Struthio camelus: one gene and its partner. The protein of the gene in region 1 purifies or fractionates together with the protein of each later gene. This does not show direct contact. Links are inferred from orthologs where the notes say so. Each region holds a gene or a part of one and is shown on either strand. Other genes may lie near its edges.

Region 1 (8,107 bases):
AGGGGTATACAGATGAGGGCACGGTGGCCCACAGAGAAGGTACACACAATTTGTCAAGGGCCATCACACAGAACAGACCTTAGACAATTTGTTCTCCTTTGTTACACGGTGCTAATGGGAGACGATAAGCAATGCACCTTTCGAAAACCCAGGCCTAACTTTAGATGAAGAAAGCTAGCAGAGAACATTTTAGCCATAATCTTCTCCTGCCATGATAAAGTTATTGAAAATGCAAAATCCCATCAAAATAAGGTTTGTTTTTGGCTAGCTGTCTTGTTCTGCCACATTCCTATCAGTGATGCTTGCTCCCAGTCTTGAGTGGTATCACACAGTAATTGACAGGATGAACTACAGCAGCCAATCGGTCATTCCTCAACTCAAAGAGTCACTAACTCTACAGGAGAGGAAAGTCGGGATTCACGGATAACAATGCTCTTGTATGTTTTTCTCGGCAGTAAGCTTGACTACTTGAAAACTTGGGCGTGTACCTCATAGAATCCAGACATTTCACCTGTCTGCCCATTCACTCCAGGAGCAGTGTCAGACCTCTGACTTATTTCTGACTCTTGAGAGGGGAGGGAATAAAACGCATCTAAATAAAGGAAAATCATTTTGCATTGCAAAACCAAAATAGCTCTGCAGGGTCTCCACTTACTGGCTCTTCCACTTCTCCTGTGGCATGCTGGGCTTCAGCTTGCAAATCAATTGGTGGAGCATCTTCAACAATTCTCTGCACAGACATCTGAATAAACTCATCAAAAGAATCCAGCTGCTGCCTGACTAGGCCTTTCTCATCAAAGTAGGAGCTAAAAAAAAAAAAAGTATATTATTCAAGAAGAGCTCTTAAGTTAACTCACGTACTCCACATATCGACAAGTTCAAGACTTGTTTATTATCAAACCTTCAGGAGTCCTGGAATACAATATCAAAATACAAGCATTGACTTTTCTTGAGGCACAAGTTTCAAACACAGCTGCTCAGGACTGTTAAAAACTTAAATTTTTTCTCTCAGTATTTGAAGGCATAGACACGACAAAGTGACAGACTTGCTGCCCCTTCTTGGTTAAGCCATGGCTGTATGCACAGTTTATCTCAAATTAGAAGTGAAACAGGATGACTTAAAACCTCAGTAAAGGTAGCTTCAGCTAATATCTTCTACAATGCACATGACAAATTACTTTGCTGCAGATCATTTCCCAAGCTGCAGTAAACTGAGAGCATACAATTGTAGGCCCCTCATTCAAGACAACAGTTCTCAGAACTTTTCTTAGCTCAGATCACCTCTGTTCCAGCCACACAGAAATTTCCAGCTTCACCCCTTCCAGCAGCTTCTGGATTCCGTCTAACCTTTGTTTCACCTACCAAAACACTCCAATTGTAGCTATCCAAGCCCGAATGCCAAGCTCGCAGCCTAGCTTCTAATGGGATGATCTAAACACGTTCACTGCATTAGCTCCTGCCAGCAAGCTCCTCTCCTCCCACGACCCTGCATTCCTGAAGCCAGCCAGGGAACCCTTACTTACTCCAGCTTTTGCTCCTTCACCTACAAGACCTCTGCAGAAAACTTGTAACAACTACCTCCCTATCAGTGACTTCAGGCTTCTCCAAGAACGGAAACATAGCCTTGCCTATTGTGCCGCTGCCACAGTGCACCCTGTCAGCATAGCCTGCCATTGCACAAAAGGAAGGAGGAAGGGAAGGAAAGGGCAACCTAAATCCTTACTGGGAGTGAGCTCTAGCCCCAGCTGAAGGATTTGTCCCAGTTCCCTCCCACCTGATTCAGAATAAATTTAACGCTCATCACCAGGCTGCCAGACAAGAGAAAGGACCTCCTTCTGCCTCCGAGGTTTCTCATCCCTACTCTCTACCCAGAGAGGCTACAGGTCTAGCGCTGCAGGTACGCCCTTCCGTTTGGGAACTGCTGCTCTAAGACACAAAGAGAAACACTTTTTGCCTAGTTCCACACAGCCTTCCACTCTCTCAGAGGCGCAAGAAGCTGCAGAGCCTGGGCCTTCATGTAGTACTAATAAAACACTAATATGGCAAACTGCTAAGTATTGATCTCCTAATGTCAGCACGCACTGCGAGAGTAACGGGCAAGATGATGTGCGTGATTTGGGATCAAAATAATTTCGTACTTCAGTTCAGATAGCCTAGCTGAACTGAGAGTAAGTAGGGCTTCTTAATCCCTAACAGTGTATATACAGGGCCAGCAGTCAAAACCTTGCTGTTTCTGCTTAAAGCCCTTCTGTTCAAAAAGTAACGAAACATATTATTTAGTAGAAACAATTCTTGCATTTCCATCACGTGTTGCTAGCAAACTAGATACTACCTTTAAGACCCAAAGCGTAAAGAACAGTGAATTTTAGAAAGTCACCTAATAACAATCCAGCATGCTTCTTGCCACAAGTCAGGAGTGATTTCATCATCATCTTCATCATATTGCATATCTGTCCAGGAAGCATAACGTGCAAGTTAGACTTCGATATCCACGTTACCTCTACTTGCCTACTAACGCGGGGCCGGCATACGACTGGCAGAGGGGCACCCCGGCAGCGCCCATGGCCGCAGGAGACTGTGGAAGCCCCTCACGCCGGCGCCGGTAGCTCCCCCGTCTGCACCGAGCCCCAAACGCGGACTCCGCGCGAGCCCAACGGCTCTCCCGCCCCCACCCCCTAGCGGGCAGTGCGCGACCCGAGCCCAACGGCTCTTCCCCCCCCCCGCCCCCAAGTAAGCCGTAGACGAGCCCAACGGTTCTCCTGCTCCCACCCTCCCTGGTAGGCCGTGGGCGAGCCCAACGGCTCTCCTGGCCCCTCCGCCGGGGCCGGCCGAAGAGGATAACGGTTCAGGCCGGGAGCGGCCGCCCGCCCTCACCTTCGTCCGCGTCGTACATGGCGGCGGCAGTAGGGAAGGCCGCAGGCGGCGGCGGCCGACACAGAGGCGAAGAGAGCGCGGGCCACCACTACCGAGCCGCCGACGGAGGGGGAGGCGCCTGCGCGCCTCGCGCACACACCTAGCAGGCGTCACCGCCGCCTCGCGCAGGGCCGAACCGTGGCCCGCTCCCTTCCCCCGCCCCGCCCCGCCCCGTCGGAAGCACCGCGGGGGAAGGCGCATGCGCGGTTGCTGCGCCCACGCCCTTCCTCTTCCCGCCGCACGGCGGGCGGGGCGGAGCCGCGTGGGAGCGCGCGGAGCCTGTGGCCGCCGGCGGGTGGCGGCGGCGGCGCTCGCCCGCGCCATGCAGCGCCTGGGCCGGGCCCTCACGGGCGGGCTGGCCCGGGCTCGCGCCTGGCGGCCGGTGCCGCGGCGGGGGGCGGCGGCGGCGAGCGGCGAGGAGGAGCAGTTCGTCTTCCCTGAGTACGAGCCGGAGCCGGTGCGGTGGGAGGCGGCGGCGCCCCACCGGGAGGCGGAGCCGGGCGGGGAGCGGCGGCGGCAGCGGAGGGCTCCGAGGGCGGCGGCGGCGGCGGGGCTGCCCGACCCGTCGGTGCCGCCGAGCGGCGTGAGCTGTTCGGGCTGCGGGGCCGAGCTGCAGTGCCGCGACGGCGCGGCGCCGGGCTTCCTGCCGGCGGAGAAGTACCGGAGCCTGGCGGGCGGAGCGGGCGGAGCGGCGGGGCTGCGCGCCGCCGTGTGCCAGCGCTGCTGGCTGCTGGCGCACCACGGCCGGGCGCTGCGGTTGGCGCTGCCCCCGGAGCGGCACCGCCTCGTGGTGAGCGCCGCGCTGCGCCGCCCGCCGCGCCACGGCCGCGGCCCGCTCCTCCTCTACCTCCTCGACGTGCTGGAGCTGCCCGACCCGCTGCTGCCCGAGCTGCCGGCGCTGCTGAGCCCGGCCACCCCCGCCGCCGGCGTCCTGGTGGTGGGTAACAAGGTGGACCTGCTGCCCCGCGACGGCCCCGGGCACCTGGGGCGGCTGCGGCGGCGGGTGGCGGCGGCCTGCGCCCAGGCGGGCCTGCGCGGGGCCCCGCTGGTGGGCGTCTGCCTGGTGAGCGCCAAGACGGGCTTCGGCCTCGAAGGGCTGGTCAGCCGGCTGCAGCGCTCCTGGCGGGGCGCCGGCGACGTCTACCTGCTGGGCGCCACCAACTCGGGCAAGTCGACGCTCTTCAATGCCCTGCTGCGCTCCGACTTCTGCAAGTCCCGCGCCCCCGACGTCGTCGACCGTGCCACCGTCTCACCCTGGCCAGGTCAGGGCTGCTGTGACCGAGGTCCTGCTGGGCACGTGGGGGACAGCCAGCCCCGGCGGGAGGCTCGCTCGCTGGGCCCAGCCTCGGCCTGTGGCCCCGCTGCCTGGCGCCCCGGGGCAGTGCGAGCCCCCTGTGAAGCGTTTGCCCATCTCATGGCGCCGCCGCGTGTCACAGCGCGGAGGGGGCTGACTCGCACACGCTCTGGGAAGCAGGCGATCTGGTCCTCCCTGATCTGCATGCCTTGCCATCTCCCTGTGAATCGGGGATGCCCTCCGGGCTAAAGGGCAGCTGGGAGGGGGGCTGGTGAGCACCCGTAAAGTAGTCATATGCAAAGCCAAGCTGCCTTGCGAGCAGGACGTAGCTAGGGTGCGTTGAACCGATCTAAACGCCGCGTTAGAGAGGCGCGAGGTGCCGACCGCTCTGCTGAGAGAAGGCTCAGTGTTTGGTCCCGCTGTCAAAGGGTCAGCGGTGTCAGGGCATGGTGGGGTGAGCCAACGTGCGCTTCCTGCCTGTCACGGTAGGACGAGGTTTATAACTGCTGTATCGGTATTGGCCCCGATGCCGCTGACCTCATTCTGGTGCCTTAACGTCCCCAAGAGTTGGCCTCAGTGCTGTGAGGCTTTGATGCACAGAAGTCCGACTTGCAGCACAGCAGCTCTCCTGAGGACCATAGGACTCCTGAGGACCTGTGACTATACCAGCGTTCGCCTGGTTTTAGCGAGCGGGAGTATACGTGGCTGTAACTGTGAGTTGCTGGTTGCGTTCAGCGCTCCACCTTGAGGCCCTTTTACCAAAACATTGGTGAGAGCGGGACAGGCGCTTCATTGCAGCCACCCTGCCAAAGGAGGCTGGCGGGTTATAGCCGTTTGCTTGATGCTTAATTCCCCTTCCAACTTCGCGTCACTGGTTTGCAGCCAAAAGTGGGAGGAGCAGTTTTTTTGTTCTTGTTAAAGAGCTTAAATAGACCCAAATGTAGTGTGTGTGTGTTTGTTTTCCAGGAACCACGCTCAATCTGCTAAAATTTCCAATTATTAACCCTACGTGTGACAGGATATTTCGAAGGCAGGAGCGACTGAAAGCAGAGGCAGAAAAAACAGAAGACCAGCTAAGTAATGAAGAAAAAAAGTACCTTAATCATCTTAAAAAGGAGGGTTACTTAGTGGGTGAGTATTGTCAGACAAAAGGTATCTATCGCCTTTCTGTCCTGATGAAAATAGCGTGCTACAGGATGGACTGTTAACTCCTTAATTTGCTATAAAGTCCAGCTATTGATGAGTAATTTCTTCCACCCTGAAGCAACTCATCTTCACTTACTTAAGGGAAGAACATGCTAGCTACAGTGACAATAAAAAACTTGCAAGTAGGCATTAAAGTTATTCCGACCAGTTTTTATCCCAAGTAATGCTTGCAAGAGCTCTAGCTCCTTCCAAAGTAGTGCGGTTAGCATTTCTTTTGCATACTTATTTTTCAGCTGTCACAGTAGTCACATGGCAGAAGTTTCCCCTGTGCAGCGCACCTCCCATCAGTTCAGATGTCTTAATGAATTACAAGGATGCTGCGATAGAGCACACCTCTTTCATTCCTGAAGAAGACAAGGAAGTTGAATTTTAATGAGGACGTTTGGGTAGTAGGCCACAGTGGTTGTACATCAGTTTAGCATGTAGCCTGAAGAGGGGGTTGCCAAGAGATGGCTTTGACTTCAGGAGCTTGAAATGACTGTGAAATCTGCAGTCAGTCATGAAGTTGTGGTTTGGATCATCCTTCATTGCGCTATATCCAGAGCAAAAGATAAAACACAGTCGTTTGTGTTTAAATGGGGGTATGACCTGTGTCTGGACACCTATGTCATAAGACATAAGAGGAGTAATTCACTGTCTCTAAAATGGAAAAAGGACCTTGTTGCACTGTATCGTAGTTTGTGCGCATCTGAATAATTCTGTGTTTGAAAGCTGAAGGCCCTAAAAAAAAAAAGGCAGTCAACAACAAACAACAACAAAAAGGCCGTCTCCTTTACAGTTAAATAACGGGGCATTTGTGATCTGGTCACTGCGAAGGATTTGGGCTCGAGGAGGGTTAGGCAATAAATATAGAAGGAGTTCATTAGCCCTGCTGGCTCTTGAGCAGCCACGTTTCTGGCTGCATATCATCTTTGTCACTGTTAGGTTACCTGTGGTGCACCTCTTTTCAGGTAGGTAAGGAAGGGAAGGGACAGATATCTGACTGAAGGAAATGCAAGTTAATAAATTAATTACCCGGAAACTTTTTGGTTTAATCCAGGAAGAGTGGGAAGAACGTTCCAACAGCAGAAGCCTAGCCCTGTGGTTGACTTTGACCCCGACATGCTCTCGTACAGCGTAGACGAAGATCCCGGCTATTCCCCTCAGAAGCACAAGATAAAGGAAGAGTTCACGTACAACGAAGTGAAGGATGCTCGCTGGTGTTTTGACACACCAGGGATTGTAAAGGAAAACTGCGTAGGTACTCTGTGGTGCTGTGTCACAGGAGGTCAAGAGATTAGGAGGACTGTCCTGCCTTAGTTGTGCACATGGGAAAGTATTTCTGCTCTGCTCCTAGGCTTAGGAGTCTCTCAGTTTGGGTGAACGTGTTAAAAGGTAGGGGGTTTCTTGTTTTTCCTTGTTTGTTTGTTTTACCTGGGAAGGGTGCGTTATGTAACACTATTGCATTCCTGAATGACGTACACTGTGATCTTCGCAAAGGAACAATACAGGCAAACTTGTAAACAGTTAAATGAAGAGAAGTGAATAACAGTGTTATAAGCAAGTTTATACCAGCATTGCCCAAGGAAGCTTGCACTGTCTTAGCTCTGCCAGCCTACTGAACAAGGTGAAGTTACCACATACGGAGCGTTAGGAGAATAGCTAGTATTTTGTGACTGGACCAAATCTTTGAAAAAGACCTGAAGTATCTTCCTGAAGCCAAGCGGATTTGCAGTCTTCCCATTAATAGCCCCAGTATGTCAGGCGTGACTCTCTGTTTCACTAGAGCAGCAGCTCTGAAGCCGGTGCTGCTGTATTGCACGTGTCTGAAAAAGCTATGTTTTGATTGTTTTGGTGTCTGTGCAGAGCTGAGGGTCATCTTTTTGGGAAGATAAAAAGTACAAGGAGGTAGAAAAGTTCCAAAGGGAATGAAGTGCAAGAAACATACTGAGGCTGCATAGCTCAAGTACCAATGCTGCTTTTACAAGCACTACTACCAGTTTTCTGATGGACGTGTGTGTCCTATCGCAACCCACTTTGCCGTGGCCCTTCGCTCTCTGCTGGCTGCTAAGCATCTGGTATAAAAGACATCAGGGGCTTGGAGCCTTGGTTTGGTAACTAGAGGTTGGGCATGTTATTTTGGAGTTGAATAAGTGGGAAATGAGTGGGTTTTCCTGCATCCAGGAAATTCATGATGCCATTTCTGATTCTGATTATCCTTGCTGTGTCTTCGGAGAGATTAGGTGGAATATATGCCAAGTTTCAGGTCAAATTTTGTTTCTGCAGTCAGTGTTCACTTTGGCTAGAGGACAGGCAGGATGATCTGTGCGCCAAATTTTGGCGGGGTAGACTTCCAGTTGGGGGTGGGGGTAGTTTTTCGTATTTTGGAAGAAGAGGGAGGGAAAGCAGCTGTTAACATATTTGTCTGTGTTCTTTAGAGGTTCGTTTTTAGCTGCTTCCTCATGCCTTCTTACAAAGCCAAACTTCTGGAAAGTGTAGCAAAGGGTTACTGGTAACTCTCAAATTTGGGTTTTAAGCATTGCCAAACACATCAGAAAACCTGCAGCTGGCAGAGCAAAGCCTCCTGGCGTTCCAGAATCCATGCTAAAGGCTGCCATGGCTTTCAAACTAAAGATCACTTGCTCACCGTCGTAGGAAAAGCATTTGTGCTTCTGGCTGCACCACAACCCTTGTAGCTCAGTCGTTTAATGCCGA
Region 2 (7,120 bases), on another chromosome or scaffold:
CCCAGCAGCCCCCCTCCCCTCGCGCAGCAGCCCCCATCCAGCACACCCCCCTCGCCCAGCAGCCCCCATCCAGCACACCCCCCTCGCCCAGCAGCCCCCCCACCCAGCAGCCCCCCTCCCCTCGCCCAGCAGCCCCCATCCAGCACACCCCCCCCACCCAGCAGCCCCCCTCCCCTCGCGCAGCAGCCCCCATCCAGCACACCCCCCTCGCGCAGCAGCCCCCATCCAGCCCCCCTCCCCTCGCCCAGCAGCCCCCATCCAGCAGCCCCCCTCCCCTCGCCCCGCACCCCCCCCCCGCCCAGCAGCCCCGGCGGCCTGGGCGCAGCGCTCACCAGTGCTCGATGACCACGCGGGGGCCGCTCCCCCCGGGGCCGCCCCGGACCCGCTTCTGCGGCGCATCCGCTTCCTCCTCTGCCCGGACCTCGGTCGCCTCCGGGGCGCCGCGCTTCTTGCGCCGGGGAGCCATGCTGGGGAGAGCCGGGGCGGGCTGAGCGCCGGGGGGGCCCCGCCGGGCGGATAGCAAGGGAGGAGGAGCCCCGGGAGCGGGCCGCGGCTGGGGGGGGGGGGGGGGGCGAGGTTCCCCCCCACCCGAGGAAGGCCGGGGACCCCCCGGGGGCGGGGAGGGGAGAGCCGCGGAGCCGCCGCTACCTGCCGCGCTGCTCTGCGCCGCGCCGAGCCGGGCCGGGCACGTGGCGGGGCGCGGGGAACCGCTGCGGGCTGAGCCACCGGCACCGCCGCCGGCGGGGGGAACACGGGGCAGAGCGGCGCGGCGCAGCCCGCCGGTGCGAGCGGGCCGCCGCGGCCCCCCCCGCCGCACGGCGGCCGGACACTCCGTCACCGCTCGCCCGCTTCACCGCCCGCGGGCACCCCGGGGCGAGGGGGGGAATTTGGGGGGGGGTTGGAGCAACCCCCCCCCATGGGGCACAGTGGTTCCGCCCGCTCCCCCCGCCCCCTTCCCGCGGTTATGTAGCCAGCGCGGAAGGCGCAGCCAATCACGACGCGGCAGCCGCGGCGTGGCCAAGCCCCTCAGCGCCCACGTGATTTCCCCCCCCCCCCACGCACACCGGGGAGCGGTCCCCTCCCGCCGCCGCCGCCGCCGCCGCCGCCGCCGCCGCCGCCGCCGCGCAGCACAGGGACACGGCGGGGCGCTGCGGGCGTTTATTGACAGCCATGAGGATGAGCGTTCACCGGTGCGGGGCGGCTCTGCCCCGCCGCCTCCCAGCCCCCGCGGGCACGGGGCCGGGGCGCCTCGTACCGGGCCCCACACCCCACTGCACCGGGCGGCCGCGGTGACCCCCTGGGTGGCGCGGGGTGCAGGTCCCTCCTGCAACTTGGGGGGTGAGGGGGGGGGGCAACAGCAGCGTTGTCAGCTTCTACTTGTCCTTCTTGGTCTCCCCGTTGGCCAGGCCGGCGGCCGCCTGCGCCTCGGGCGCCTCCTCGGGCCCCTCATCCCGCGGCTTCGACTGCTTCTTGGCTTTGTGGTAGAGCTCGTTGAGGTTGAACTCCCTGATCACGTTCTCCTGCAGCCCAGATGGGCCGGGTGTCAGCACCCGCCAGCATCTCCCACACCTTCCTCCCCCCCCCCCCCCCCCCACAGCCCCGAGTGCCCTTCCCGCAGTGCTGGGAGCCACCAGCCACCTCCGGGGCCGGGTGCTGAACCGCGTCGTGCCCCAGAGGCTGGAGGACGCCAAGGGCTGGAAGGTCTCCACCCACCTCTGAGAAGGTCCAGGACACGGCTCGACCTTTCTTATCGATCTGTGGGCGACGCATGGTCTCCGTCCCGCCCTGGAAGAGGATGAGGGTGGGCAGCTGCTTGGTGAGGGGCGAGGTGCTGACTTTATACCTGCGGGAGGCGGACGGTGAGCCTGCGGGAGCTGCAGGGGCCCGGGGGCCCCCCAGACGTTCCCCCTTCTGCCCGGATAGGGGCTCTGCTGATGGGGGCCGTCCCCTTCCCCCGTCCCCGCAGACCTGGTGCTGACGTCCGTGTACCGGCCCACATCCACCTTCCCGAAGTGCAGCCCCGAGCAGTTGTACCTGGCGGAGAGACGCAGCTGAGAGCGCCGAGCATGACTGTGTCTCCCCCCCGCCCCAAACCCTGGTGGGCGCCGCTCACTTGAGAGAGAGGTCGGCGAAGATGGGGGCGAAGGACTGGCACTCGCTGGACCAGTTGGCGAAGAACTCGATGATCCAGGTCACCCGCTTGTCTCGTTCCAGCTCCTCCTGCCGCACGGGGTCACGGCTTGGCGGGGCGCGGCGGGGCGCAGCGCCCCCTCCGGCGCCGCCGTGCCCCGGCCCGGCCCGCAGAGGACATACTCACGTCTATGGTCTTGTCGTTGAAATACTTGATGTACTCGGGACCCATGTAGAGGGGCGGCTTGCAGGTCATCAGGAACACTGTAACGACAGCGCCCGTGAACCCGCTGCCTGGACGGGCCTGTTCCCGCAGGGAAGAGGCCCTTACCCTCACCCACACACCCGTTGCCCCCCGCCCCGAAAGCGGCCAAGAGAGCCAGGCTCGGTTCAGGATGAGGTTCCTCTTTCCCCGGACTACCCCTCTGGGCCTGTACGGAGGAGCGCTATGGACACCCTGTGCTCGGGGCAAGCGGAGCCGGGGGGCACCGCTGCGGCCCCTGGTGCCCCCATCCCCGCGGGTCTCACCTATGCACAGCGTGAGGTAGAGCAGGCCCATGCGGATGTCGAGACGGAAGAAGAGGATGGCGTTGGCCACTTTGCTGAACATGAAGATGTTGCCGATGTGCTGCTCCACAGTGACTGGGGGAGAGGGGTGAGAGCCAGGGCCAGATTCCCCCATCCCCTCTCAGCCGCCACTCCCCGAACTCCCCCCCTTCCTCTGGCTCCTACTCCATCCAGCTCTGCAGGGGATGGTCCACAAGCAGGCCCTGCCCCGCAGCCCCCCGCGCCCACCCAACAACGCAGGCCCCGACTCACTGGAGCGGCGGTTCTTCATCATCACGATGGCACTGAGGAACATGAGGATCTCCACCTCCCGCTGGGCACAGGAGAGAGGAGGTGAGCAGGAGGCACCCACCAGACCCTGCGGCCCTACCGCCCGCCCAGAGCCAGGGCGCTCCCAGCCCAGCCTGCCACAGGGACCTGGCGGCTGTGCCCCCCGCCACCGCTGCTCCCCCGTGCCATCCCTCAGCTCCTCTCCCTCCCGAGCACCGAGAGGCGGCCTGCGAGCACAGCCAGGAAAGGGGGCCGCCGTCCCCGAGGCGCTCAGGGAGCCCCCAAGCGGCGGGCCGGGGCTGGCAGAGCACTGCCGGCGGGCGCCAGGCCCGGCCCTCCCTCGGCAGCGCCGGGGAGCCGCGAGGAGAGCGGGCCCGGGGGCAGGAAGGACGTCGGGGACAGGCGGGACACGGGGCTCGGGCGGGCGGCAGCCCGCCTCACCCAGTCAAAGTCGCAGGGGTTGCCGTCCTCCCGCTGCGAGGGCAGGCCGCGGCAGAGCGGCGGCAGCTTGCGGACGAGCAGGAAGGCGGTGGCGAGCAGCGCCGAGAGCGGGTAGTAGGGCCGCGCCAGCCAGCGGCACAGCGCCGGCATCGAGTACAGCAGCGCCAGCAGCGGCGCCACCACCGCCATCTTCCCTCCGCTCGCCGCCGAGCTCTGCCGGCCACCGTACGGCCGGAGCGGGGCTCTTCTTATTGGGCCGGCCTCCTGCTCGTCAGCGGTGGGCGGGGCTCCTCCGCCGCTGGCCAATGGCGCGGCCCCGCTGCCAAGCTCTTCCGACATCCAGCCGCAGAAGGCGGGGAGGCGGCCAATCAGGATACTCGGTCCGCGCCGCACGTAGCAACGGGGGGGAAGGGGCGGGCCGTAGGCAGCGTTCAACCAATCTAAGCCGAGTGCCTGGGGCGCGGCTCTCCCCCCATAGGGTGGGGCGGTGCGGCCAGCCCGCCCCCGGCGCGGGGCACGCTGGGAGCATGGAGAATTTCTCGGCGCTCTTCGGCGGGGCCGAGCCGCCGCCCGCCGCCGCCGCCGCCGCGCTGGGCTTCGGACCGGCCAAGGCGGCGGGGCCCGGGGCCGGGCCGCCCCCCGCCGCCGCCGCGCCGCCGCCCGGCGAGGACGCGGCCCGCAAGGCCGCCGCCGCCGGCCCCTTCTACCTGCTGCGGGAGCTGCCAGGTACGGGGCGGGGCTCGCGGGGCGCTCCGCCAATCAACGCGCGGGAGGCGGGCGCCGCCCGCGATAGGCGGGGCGCTCCGCCAATTGGCCGCGCGGAAGCGGCACCGGGCTTCCGGAGGGGGGTAACGGACAGCGCGGTGGGCCAATAAGGTGCGGGGGGGGGAGAGGGAGAACGAGGCGCAAACTGACAGCCCGGCCGGCTAATGGGATGCAAGAGGAGGGGCGGGGCTGAGCGGCGCACCACCCAATAGGGGAAGGGCGCGGGACTGGGGCCTCGCAGAGGTATCCCATAGTGCTTTGCCCTGGCTCCCGCCAACATGGACGGCGGTGGGGGCGGGCAGGCACCACGGAGCTGACGGGCAGCACCAACCTCATCACGCACTACAACCTGGAGCACGCCTACAACAAGTTCTGCGGCAAGAAGGTGAAGGAGAAACTCAGCAACTTCCTCCCCGACCTGCCGGGCATGATCGACCTGCCCGGCTCCCACGACAACAGCAGCCTGCGCTCCCTCATCGAGAAGCCCCCCATCTGCGGCAGCTCCTTCACCCCCCTCACCGGCACCATGCTCACCGGCTTCCGCCTCCACGCCGGCCCGGTGAGCCCCGGCGCTGCCAGGCCCAGAGGCAGCGCGGAGGGAGGGAGGGAGGGAGGCCTGGCGCGGGCTGACGGGCCCCCTCGCCCTCTCTGTCTCTCTCTCTGGGCAGCTGCCGGAGCAGTGCCGGCTCATGCACATCCAGCCGCCCAAGAAGAAGAACAAGCACAAGCACAAGCAGAGCCGCACCCAGGATCCCGTCCCCCCGGGTAAGGGACGCGCCTGGCTCCCGCAGCACCCCTCACCACGAGAAGCCCGCTGGGCACCCCACTGACCCAGCTCTCTCCCTTCCTTCAGAAACCCCCTCGGACTCTGACCACAAGAAGAAAAAGAAGAAAAAAGAGGAGGATCCTGAGCGGAAGAGGAAGAAGAAGGAAAAGAAGAAAAAGAAGGTAGGTGGGGAGAGCCAGGCTCTCACCCACGGCCCCTGTGGGCCCAGGCCCTCCCCGCGCGCCCCCCCAGGAGCTGCCTGGCCCCGGGAGCTGCCGAGCAGCCCTTCCCCGGGCCGCTGATCAGCAGGAGGTTGGAGGGGGCTGAGTGACGCTGGGAGGGCGCCGGTGGCGGGCGGGCTCCGCTCGGGGCTCACGGGGACGCGTGTGCCTCTGTCCCTCCTTGCCAGAACCGGCACAGCCCGGAGCACCCGGGCGTGGGCAGCTCCCAGGCCAGCAGCAGCAGCAGCCTGCGGTGAGGCGTCCGCTCCGTGGATCTCCCAGCCGACGGGAACGGCCTCAGCTCACCCGAGACGGACTCGTCCCTCCTGCCGGGCTCGGTGGGGGCACTCGGGCTGGCCTGTCCCCCCGGCGGAGAGGACGTCCCCAAAGCACCCACGTGCGCTTCCTGCGGAGGGCAGGAGTCACGGACTCCGCTGGAACCGCTGTGGGGAGTTGCTGCCTGTGGCCTTTTATACCAAAACAACGCGGTGCATCGGGCTCTCTTTTTTTATTCACTTTTTAATTAAAAAGGCTCTGCTCCGAGGAGGGGCTGGTGACTGTGGCTGCTGCCACCGTCGGCCCTTGTGCCAGGGCGCGGAGCGGACACGTGGGGCGTGAGTGAGCGGTGCTGCCTTAGGGAGCAGGCGTGGGGGGGAAACTGAGGCAGAAGGGGGAGGGGGGAGCCCGGGGCAGGATCTGACTGCCGGGAAAGAGGGGTCCTACCTTGGCTGCGGCTGCTCAGCTGAATACAGAACCCCTCCACTCCGCTGAGCGGCGCTTCGCTGAGGACAGCGGCGACCCCGGCGAGGTGCCGAGGCCGGCAGCGAGCCCCAGGGCAGGTGTCGCAGCGCTGGAAGCGCCGGCCAGCTGCGACAGCGGCCGAGGAGCGGCCGTAGGGCGTCCCTTCGGTCCCCGAAGCGGCTCAGGCTCCTGCGCGACTGTGCCCTGGAAGCCGCTTACGTCGGACACCCGAGAAGCCCGACTCGGCCCCTTGACAAAACGCTGACCTGTGGCGGGAGCGGAGTTTGCCCACGGGCGCCCGTCCTCAAATCGGGGTAATCCCTACGGTGAGGGCGGCCCGGCCCGGAGGCACTACACCTTAGCGCTGCTGGGCTTGGGGGCCCCTCGCTGCTCTGCTGCGGCCCAGCTTTCTCTCCCCCTTGCGCGGTGGGAGGGAAAGGTGAGCCGCAGGAGGGGCCCCTCTATCCCTGGATGCTAAACAAAGCACACGCGTGGCTCCTGCGATGGCTCATTAAATCTCCTTTTATTCCTCATTTTAAAATGGCTAATTAAAAAAAAAAAAAAATCCAATGGCTCTGCAGAGGCCACAGGAGACATATTGCCGTAGAGAAAGAGTCGAGTAGTGCCTAAAGTTTCACTGCACCTGCACAAGTTGGGTAGCCCTTTGGGGGGGGGGGGAGGTGATGGGGGAGCGCTGGACTCCTCGGCTGCTTTTTTTTGGCATGGGATGAGAAAAATATTGCTTTACGGGGCTGTGCCCCGCTGGCCTTCCTCTTTCCCCGAACGGAAATTAAAAACAACCGTGTGACAGCGAGGAAAACTCTTAACGGACCTGACAAAACAAGACTAAAAGGAAAAAAAAAAAACCTGGGGAAACATTTAAAAAAAAAAAAAACAGCTAAAACCATGAGCGCGGCCAGGCTGGTGAGCACAAGGGTTTCTGTCCAGGGCCCTGGCCTCTGCGCGAGCCTGGCGCCCCGCGGGCCTGCCCGGCGCGTGAGCTCACCCTTCGCTTGGGAGAGCAGCGCAGTAGGCAGCAGCCTCAGCCCGTCCTCATCCTCCTCCTCCTCCCCAGGTGGGAGAGGAGCTCGAGCACCTGAGGCTTAAAAAGGAAAGAAAAAGAGGATAGCCCTCACCTAAAAGCACCTCGGCATCAGGCCAGCGCGGCCTTCGCCCTTCGCGGCAACCCCGGCGCGGCGCGGCGCGGCCCGCCCGCGGC

Evidence for each region. Proteins that work in one complex are often made in the same cells at the same time.
Region 2: the proteins of POLR2B (region 1) and MED19 purify together in Homo sapiens (affinity purification with mass spectrometry; 4 studies listed by BioGRID and IntAct, with this or other methods). This does not show direct contact. The link is inferred for Struthio camelus from reciprocal best matches to the Homo sapiens genes POLR2B and MED19.

The regions. Positions count from the first base shown.
Region 1 is NC_090945.1:3,512,625-3,520,731, reverse strand, and holds the start of POLR2B (DNA-directed RNA polymerase II subunit RPB2), read right to left. Parts: upstream 3,099-8,107; 5' UTR 2,894-3,098; coding exon 2,875-2,893; intron 2,451-2,874; coding exon 2,378-2,450; intron 807-2,377; coding exon 656-806; intron 1-655. Other genes in the region: NOA1 (nitric oxide-associated protein 1), read left to right, coding at 3,236-4,175, 5,174-5,338, 6,453-6,649. UniProt on the Homo sapiens protein: Catalytic core component of RNA polymerase II (Pol II), a DNA-dependent RNA polymerase which synthesizes mRNA precursors and many functional non-coding RNAs using the four ribonucleoside triphosphates as substrates.
Region 2 is NC_090946.1:7,469,464-7,476,583, forward strand, and holds MED19 (mediator of RNA polymerase II transcription subunit 19), read left to right. Parts: upstream 1-3,916; 5' UTR 3,917-3,935; coding exon 3,936-4,134; intron 4,135-4,475; coding exon 4,476-4,732; intron 4,733-4,841; coding exon 4,842-4,938; intron 4,939-5,026; coding exon 5,027-5,121; intron 5,122-5,348; coding exon 5,349-5,417; 3' UTR 5,418-6,434; downstream 6,435-7,120. Other genes in the region: TMX2 (thioredoxin-related transmembrane protein 2), read right to left, coding at 1,374-1,520, 1,714-1,843, 1,969-2,034, 2,114-2,220, 2,318-2,394, 2,659-2,772, 2,950-3,010, 3,409-3,747. UniProt on the Homo sapiens protein: Component of the Mediator complex, a coactivator involved in the regulated transcription of nearly all RNA polymerase II-dependent genes.